Linked DNA regions of Arabidopsis thaliana. The protein of the gene in region 1 binds, or shares a complex with, the protein of each later gene. Each region holds a gene or a part of one and is shown on either strand. Other genes may lie near its edges. A codon is read from its position in the direction of its gene.

The links. The genes of interacting proteins can lie anywhere in the genome.
Region 2: the proteins of AT1G51980 (region 1) and AT5G25450 are in contact, whole or in part, in a cryo-EM structure (PDB 8BEP), measured with the Arabidopsis thaliana proteins. Residues at the interface, in NP_175610.1 of Arabidopsis thaliana: Thr135 (codon at 2,968), Phe137 (codon at 2,974), Arg138 (codon at 2,977), Arg141 (codon at 2,986), Trp189 (codon at 3,130); in NP_197927.1 of Arabidopsis thaliana: Arg53 (codon at 1,508), Met97 (codon at 1,096), Leu100 (codon at 1,087), Glu104 (codon at 991), Glu107 (codon at 982), Arg108 (codon at 979), Leu111 (codon at 970), Ala113 (codon at 964).

What each region holds. Positions count from the first base shown.
Region 1 is NC_003070.9:19,325,196-19,328,949, reverse strand, and holds the start of AT1G51980 (Insulinase (Peptidase family M16) protein), read left to right. Parts: upstream 1-2,031; 5' UTR 2,032-2,178; coding exon 2,179-2,217; intron 2,218-2,527; coding exon 2,528-2,773; intron 2,774-2,850; coding exon 2,851-3,147; intron 3,148-3,241; coding exon 3,242-3,409; intron 3,410-3,511; coding exon 3,512-3,679; intron 3,680-3,754. UniProt on the Arabidopsis thaliana protein: Substrate recognition and binding subunit of the essential mitochondrial processing protease (MPP), which cleaves the mitochondrial sequence off newly imported precursors proteins.
Region 2 is NC_003076.8:8,855,027-8,858,780, reverse strand, and holds AT5G25450 (Cytochrome bd ubiquinol oxidase, 14kDa subunit), read right to left. Parts: upstream 1,865-3,754; 5' UTR 1,746-1,864; coding exon 1,652-1,745; intron 1,571-1,651; coding exon 1,413-1,570; coding exon of another isoform or gene 1,395-1,412; exon of another isoform or gene 1,133-1,394; coding exon 1,085-1,132; intron 1,001-1,084; coding exon 932-1,000; 3' UTR 305-931; downstream 1-304. Other genes in the region: AT5G25440 (Protein kinase superfamily protein), read left to right, coding at 2,059-2,116, 2,208-2,461, 2,587-2,722, 3,078-3,220, 3,303-3,429, 3,526-3,754. UniProt on the Arabidopsis thaliana protein: Component of the ubiquinol-cytochrome c oxidoreductase, a multisubunit transmembrane complex that is part of the mitochondrial electron transport chain which drives oxidative phosphorylation.

The DNA.
Region 1 (3,754 bases):
TTTGATATCTAAATTATCATATTAATTTTTTATTAATTATTATAGTTCACTTCTCATCTTTATATGATTCTATTTTTGCGAAAAATAATATCATCATTATAAAAAATAATTAGAGTTTTTTCGCATATGCCATAATTTGATTTTTTAAAAACGAATATAAACTGTTCAATACATGAAAAAATATTATAACGGGTGAAAATAGATTTAAGAAAACTTTCTACTGAGTAACGGGTCATAATTTGAAATATTTATATTCAATTTCATACATATTATATTGAAAATTTATAATCTTATATACTACAATAATTAAAAACATATTAGATTTTCTTATATGTATGATGTGATTCAATTTTTAATACAAGCTGGAAAATCTTAGAATTGACGGGTTTAGATCGATATTAATACAAGATGGTATACTACAGGTGAAACTCTTAAATTAGCAATCAAACTACAAGTGTATAATCTTAAACACTAAACAATATACATAATATTAACAAAACATATACAACTCACAGTTTAATATACATTTAAAATCAAATAAAATAATATCATATATTTTTAAATCATCTTTACAATAAAAGTTTTTAGTTTAACTAAAATATAAGTCTACCTGCGGTATACAGCAGGTTAATATCTAGATTATAGGGCTTATTGGATCTAAAGATGGGTCATCAAATATTTCCTAAACTGAAGCAAAATATATTGAATATTCAAATATCTATCTGTTACCAAATTATAAACAAATAAGTTCGTAAAATAATTTAATATTTTATATACGAAATTAATTAAATCTTAATCACATAAAAATTAGCAAAACAAAAAGTATTCAACAATTAAAAAATTATCAAATCTCTGTGTTATATAAGTTTTGATACTATATTCGAATAAAATGTAATATACTTTTTCAATTTGTATTCTTTAACAAATTTAAGCTAACTAATATATTTGCTTTTTTGGTGGATTTGGGTAAAAGTGCATTCAGGTCATATGATACATTTTCCTATTGAATAAATATGGTGCACTCCTATGTTATTAGTTAAAATGTTTAGATTATAATTCAGAGTCATATCATTAATAAAATTAATATTAATAAAATAAATTGCTTTTTGGAAGACGGATTTGAAGGGACGGGTTTTTGAATCAACATTAATAAAAAAGTAAAATATAACTAATCCACCGTTTCAATACGGGTTAAATCTTTAATTTATTATTTTTTAAAACTACTAATATTAAACATATCAAATCATCCTAATTTAGAAAAGATTATATAAAACCAAAAATGTTATGTGGTATGTATAATATTACTATATATAAAATTAAACTATAAAATATAAATGTATTAGAGAATGATACAATTTGCAAAGCTTTTATATATAAAAAATAATTCTTAAATTTTAAAAATTACTACTTTAAAAAAAAAATCATGGGACGGGTAAGAAATTACATAACGGATTTTATTTTAGAATTGGGTTATATGGTGGATGTATTTGAATCAATATTTATAAAATATTAAAATATTATTAATATGATGTTTTAATAGGGGTTAAAACTTCAGTTTTTTAACAATTGTCTCATGGATTCGTGGTATAACGTTACCTAATAACAATTTTAAACTGTAAAATATTAATATTTTATAAAATTAAAATTTGCAAGTTTTAATATATTACTTTAAAAAAAAATCGTCTCGCGGTATACCGCGGTTTAAAATCTAGTAACAAAATATTTGAAGTACACACTAAACCAACTCAGTAATCTAATTAAGTAAATACAGAATGGACATATTTTTTGATAATTTTCAATTATTATTAAAATTCTTCAGTAAACAGATTTTTAATGAAAAAGATGATTAGATGATGTTTTGACGGTTGAAATTGGCTATAGGTTATATAGTTTAGATTTGTTCAGATTGATAAATAGTCTAAAAACCACTTTGAATAAATATTAGGATTGGGCCAAGCCCATAACACAATATTGGGTCAGATTTTAGTACATATTATGGGCCTATGTTAGCAAGATATCACCGAGTACGTAGCAACTTAGATTCTAAAGTCTAAACTAAACAAAATCGTAAATAAACTGAGAAAAAGCCTCCGTCTCCTCCTCTCTCTCTATTCATCAGCCTCAACCTCTCTTTCGTCGTCGACTCAGTTTCCGATTTAGGGTTACCCAATCTTCGCCATGTATCGCACGGCAGCTTCACGAGCCAGGGCTCTTAAGGTACATCCTTATTCCTTTTTACAATTTTACCCTTTTATCCTGTTCCTGGAAGATTCTGGAACGATTTGGTCCGATTCAGTGAATTAACAGATCTGGATTCAAATTCTTTCGTTTGTAGTTACTTCTATAGGTTACAATGATCTCTTCTCTGATTGGTTAAAGTCAATCCATTGGTTTAGATTATAACTCATCTGATTTTCGATTTAAGAGAAATGATTTCGATTATGATTCTTCTTATTGTCCTTTGATTGATACCATAGAAAAGATTGGTTTCTTATTATGTGATGTATTGTGATTGTGTGTTATATAGGGAGTTCTTACTCGTAGTTTGAGACCAGCGCGTTATGCTAGTTCTAGTGCTGTTGCGGAGACGAGTTCGTCAACGCCGGCTTACTTGAGCTGGTTGAGTGGTGGGTCTCGTGCTGCGCTTACTTCATTGGATATGCCTCTACAAGGTGTTTCTCTTCCTCCGCCGCTTGCTGATAAAGTCGAGCCGAGCAAACTTCAGATCACTACTCTTCCAAATGGTCTTAAGATAGCCTCAGAGACGACTCCGGTAAATAAAAGAACGAATTTTAATGTCTGATTTCACTCCTGAAAATGTGAACTGAAGAAAGTTAATGTTGTGTGCAGAATCCGGCAGCTTCGATTGGTTTATATGTTGATTGCGGTTCTATTTATGAGGCGCCTTATTTCCATGGAGCTACACATTTGCTTGAAAGAATGGCTTTCAAGAGCACGTTGAACAGAACTCATTTTCGTCTTGTGAGGGAAATTGAGGCTATTGGAGGCAACACATCCGCTTCTGCGTCTCGAGAGCAAATGAGTTACACTATTGATGCTCTTAAGACCTATGTCCCTGAAATGGTTGAAGTTCTTATTGACAGTGTTAGAAACCCTGCTTTCTTGGACTGGGAAGTGAATGAAGAGGTAGATCATTTTTTTTTTCCTTTTGTATTATTCTGATAACTGTGTTGAAACTTTTATGTGACTTTTAGCCATGTGTCGATGATCTTTTCCGCAGCTACGGAAGATGAAGGTAGAGATAGCGGAACTTGCAAAGAACCCTATGGGTTTCCTCTTGGAGGCCATTCATTCTGCTGGTTACTCTGGTCCATTGGCAAGTCCTCTGTACGCACCGGAGTCTGCTTTAGATAGATTGAATGGGGAGCTCTTGGAAGAGTTTATGACTGTAAGAATGCATGAGCTTTTGTGAACCATCTACGTCTCAGCGATTTCAAAATTACAATCCTATTTATTTGTCTTTTTGACTCAATTTATCTGGGAATTTCAGGAGAATTTCACTGCTGCACGGATGGTATTGGCGGCAAGTGGAGTAGAACATGAGGAACTTTTAAAAGTTGCTGAGCCATTAACTTCTGACCTTCCTAATGTACCACCCCAATTGGCTCCAAAATCTCAGTATGTCGGTGGAGATTTTCGCCAACATACTGGTGGAGAGGTAGGTATTCATGACAGATTTCCCATCACTGGACAAGTGTGTCTGAGATGAAGGTGTTTCTATGTCACATTTCTT
Region 2 (3,754 bases), on another chromosome or scaffold:
GTTTGTAGGTTGACCTAGAGTTTCTACGACATAACCTGCATCCAAGCTTGGTCAAGCTCATTGGTTACGGTTCGGATGATAATTGTTGTTCATTGTTTCTGAATACTTTCCAAACGGAAGCTTAGAGCGTTACATTTATAGGAGTAAGCAAGCTAGAAAATTGTATTGAGCGCATTTCTTAGAATTTACTACGAACCTCCTGAATACATATTCTCAGGTAAGTCCTCTCTCAAGCTACAGAATGACCATTAAAATTCATACACTAACCTAAAACTGATTGCACGGTAATACGCATATACAGGGAGATCACACATGGCGGGCGATGTATACAGCTTCGGTGTTATACTATTTGAGATCTTAACTGGTTTGGGAAACCCGTGCATCATCTTAGCAGAGGAAGCAACAGAGAATAGAAAAGAAAACATTGTGGAAATGATCGATCCAGATTTAGAGAATAGCTATCGTGTTGAAGAGGGGATGCGTATGTGCAAGCTCATAAAACTGCCTTGAAAGAGATCCCAAGGAAAGACCATCCATGCAACAAGTGCTAGATAATTTGAATGCTATAGCCCATATTTGAGAGGACAAACTAAGGGTTATAAAGGATTGTGGTTCAGAGGTTACACGCCTCTCTTCAGAGCTCCTATGAGGAACTGTGAAAACATTTCCAAAAGCTAGCTTAAGGGTTTGTGTGCCTTTATGTCTTTATGTAGCATGATTTACTCTCCTCCTACCGGTGTGGGATATTTTACTCATATTTCTGTAATAGCTCAATCAAGCTTACATTACACATCCAATTCAATCTCATAAAATCTTATACATAAGGTTCACATATCCATGCATAACCATACAAAAGCAAATTGTGCGGTATTGAAGCCTAAAGAGTACTAAAACAGTGACCCTACTATAAGCACAAGAGAGACTAACATGCTTAAGGAATGGTTCTTTGGTAGAGAGGTAAAGCTCCCAAAGCCTCTCTCTCAGCTCTCTCCCGCTTCACCTGCACATGAAGTGTCGTGTGTTAGAACTTTGCTATATGATTCTTCTATCACTACAAGATAGATAAAACTGTTTTTGTTCTTACAAGAGCCAACATGTCTTGGAGGTAGCTCCTGAATGGAGTCTGCACTGCCTGTGGAATTACAGAGACAAGGAAAAGAAAAAAAGATTTACATAAGCTTCCTATCTCACAACTAACAAGCACTATCTCAAAAAAAACTTCTTTCATAGACAAGATCTTACAAAGCTTATCAAGTTACAATTATATTACAGAACCAAAACAGGTTTCTGAAAACAGAGTGTTCTTGATCCTAATACAAGTCTTAAGTCAAATCTTGCAAGCTCTATCTACAAACTCCATAGCTATATACCGTTTTAGCTCTGTTGTCACTTACTTAGAGACTAAAACATACCTGAAGATTATCTGGGAGGTATTCATGTTTCATAGAAAGATCCATTGCACGCATAAGACGCTGGTTCCGAGCATCAACAATCTCTCTCGGTAAACGATTAAGAGCTTCTTTAATATCCAAATCATACAAAGGATCATAAAGATCGTCGTATCTAAGACCTAAAAAATCGTAAAATTCCCAAAATCAGCCAGAAGAGAATTAGGGTTTGGTTTCTAGGGTAAGAGAGAAAGAAAGAGTACCGTATCTGCGGAGGCGATTAGAAACAGACTTCATATGCATACGAGCTAAGAAATTCTTCCTGGGATCTACTAGTCTCTGGAGAAACGACGCCATTATCTTCTTCGGAGTAACGTTGAAGATGTGAATTGTGATGAAACCCCTTCGCCGCTATTTGTAATTTAACCCGGGAACGAAGAAGGAAGAAGCATCCAGAGACATCTGTTTAAACGCCGTCGTATGAAACTCTAGCCAAACGGCGTAGTATGTACTCTTATCAAAAAACGGCGTCGTATGACTCACCAAATAAAACGCGTCAACCGTTGACTCTCAAACGCGTTTTCGTTGACTTTGCTCCTCGGTGTGAAAAACTAAAAGTCCTCTCTTCTTCATTGAACTCTAGTGTTAAGATTTAGCAGAGAGTATCCGAATGGGAAATTGTCTCTCAGCTTCGACACTTCCCACCGAACCAAATGCTCCCAAATCAGGTATACATATATATATTTCTCTGCGGATTTAAGTACTTTTGATTTGAATGTTACTATAATGGATATAAGTTTTGTTATAATATATGTATAGTGGAGGAGGGTGTGAAAGTCTTCACGGTGGCAGATCTGAAGAAAGCGACTAATGATTTCGGAAACCAGATGGAACTAGGAGAGAGCTTGGGATACATCAATCCCAAAACGTTATCTCCGGCCAAGAAAGGTGTTGGCATGGCCGTCGCGGTCAAGAAAATTTACTTAGCCAATGAACAAGCTTTTCAAGATTGGCTTGTAAGTAATTATATCATCTCAATCTATAGGAGAACCTTCGGCAAAACCAATAATATTGTTAAGTTTCTTGTTACTTATTTATTCTTCTAAATTTTTTGATGTTTTTGGATGGTAAATGTCTATGTTGCCTACCCCTAGAGATGGGTCAGTGTGTCTTAACATTAGAGATGATATTTTTGTAGGTTGACGTAGAGTTTCTACGACATAACTCTCATCCAAGCTTGGTGAAGCTAATTGGCTACTGTTATGATCGTGATATGTTGTTTATTGTTTCTGAATACTTTCCAAATGGAAGCTTAGGAAGTTACATCAGTAGAGGTAAGGAAGTTAAGTTTATTCATCTCCTTTTCGTCATTATATCTTGTGAGTAGACTCAAAGCAAGAAGAATCTTGCTCGAGCAAGACCCAAAGGTAAGAGCTCTTAATAAGAGCTTTAAAACTAGATCTAAAAATTGAGATAGCTCATTAGAGCTTTATTTAGTGGAAGTGAGGAAAATATACTAATTGAAGAACACCAAGCTAAATGATTCCTAGATAATTTAATATCATAGAGAGGGAATAAAGAGAGTTGCTCAAATTGATTTCTGGAGCTCTCACGAGTTTACGATCTTAACCTTAGATCCAATAGTAATTCATCTTCCTTTTGGATTTAATGGTTTATATAATATCATAGATAGTCGTCCAAAGTCATTGCCGTGGGAGACACGACTTAAGATATCCATAGGAGCGGCTCAGTGTCTTGCCTTCTTGCACTCTAGGAAGCAAGCCGGTCTATACCGCAGATATCTCACTGCTTCGAAAATCCTGCTCGACTCGGTTTGTATTCACCTTGCCTTTTTTGTTTTTTTTCTTGAATACTTGCTCCTTACCTTTAAAGTGACATTTATGGGATATGCAGGACTTCAACGCAAGAGTTTCCTATTTTGGAAAGCCAAAAGTTTCTCTCGATGAATTGGTATACACCATCGGGTTTTCAAATGTAGCACCTAGATATCAATACCCACCTCCCGAATACATACTCTCAGGCAACAATCTTCTGCTTCTTCCTTATATCTTAAAGTTAAAAGTGACCATTAAATTCAAAGAGACTAACCTTAATTGATTGCACTAATCAAATGAAGGGATGTCGAACATGGCGGGCGATGTGTATAGCTTTGGTGTTATACTACTTAAAATGTTAACTGGTTTAGGAAAAGACCTCACAATCTCAGCAAAGCGAGAAATAAAAAATAAAAAGTACAACATTGTGGAGATGATCGATCCAGATTTGAAGAATAGCTATCCACTTGAAGCGGGAAGACTTATGTGCGAGCTTATTAAACAATGCCTAGAGGTAGACCCGAAGATGCG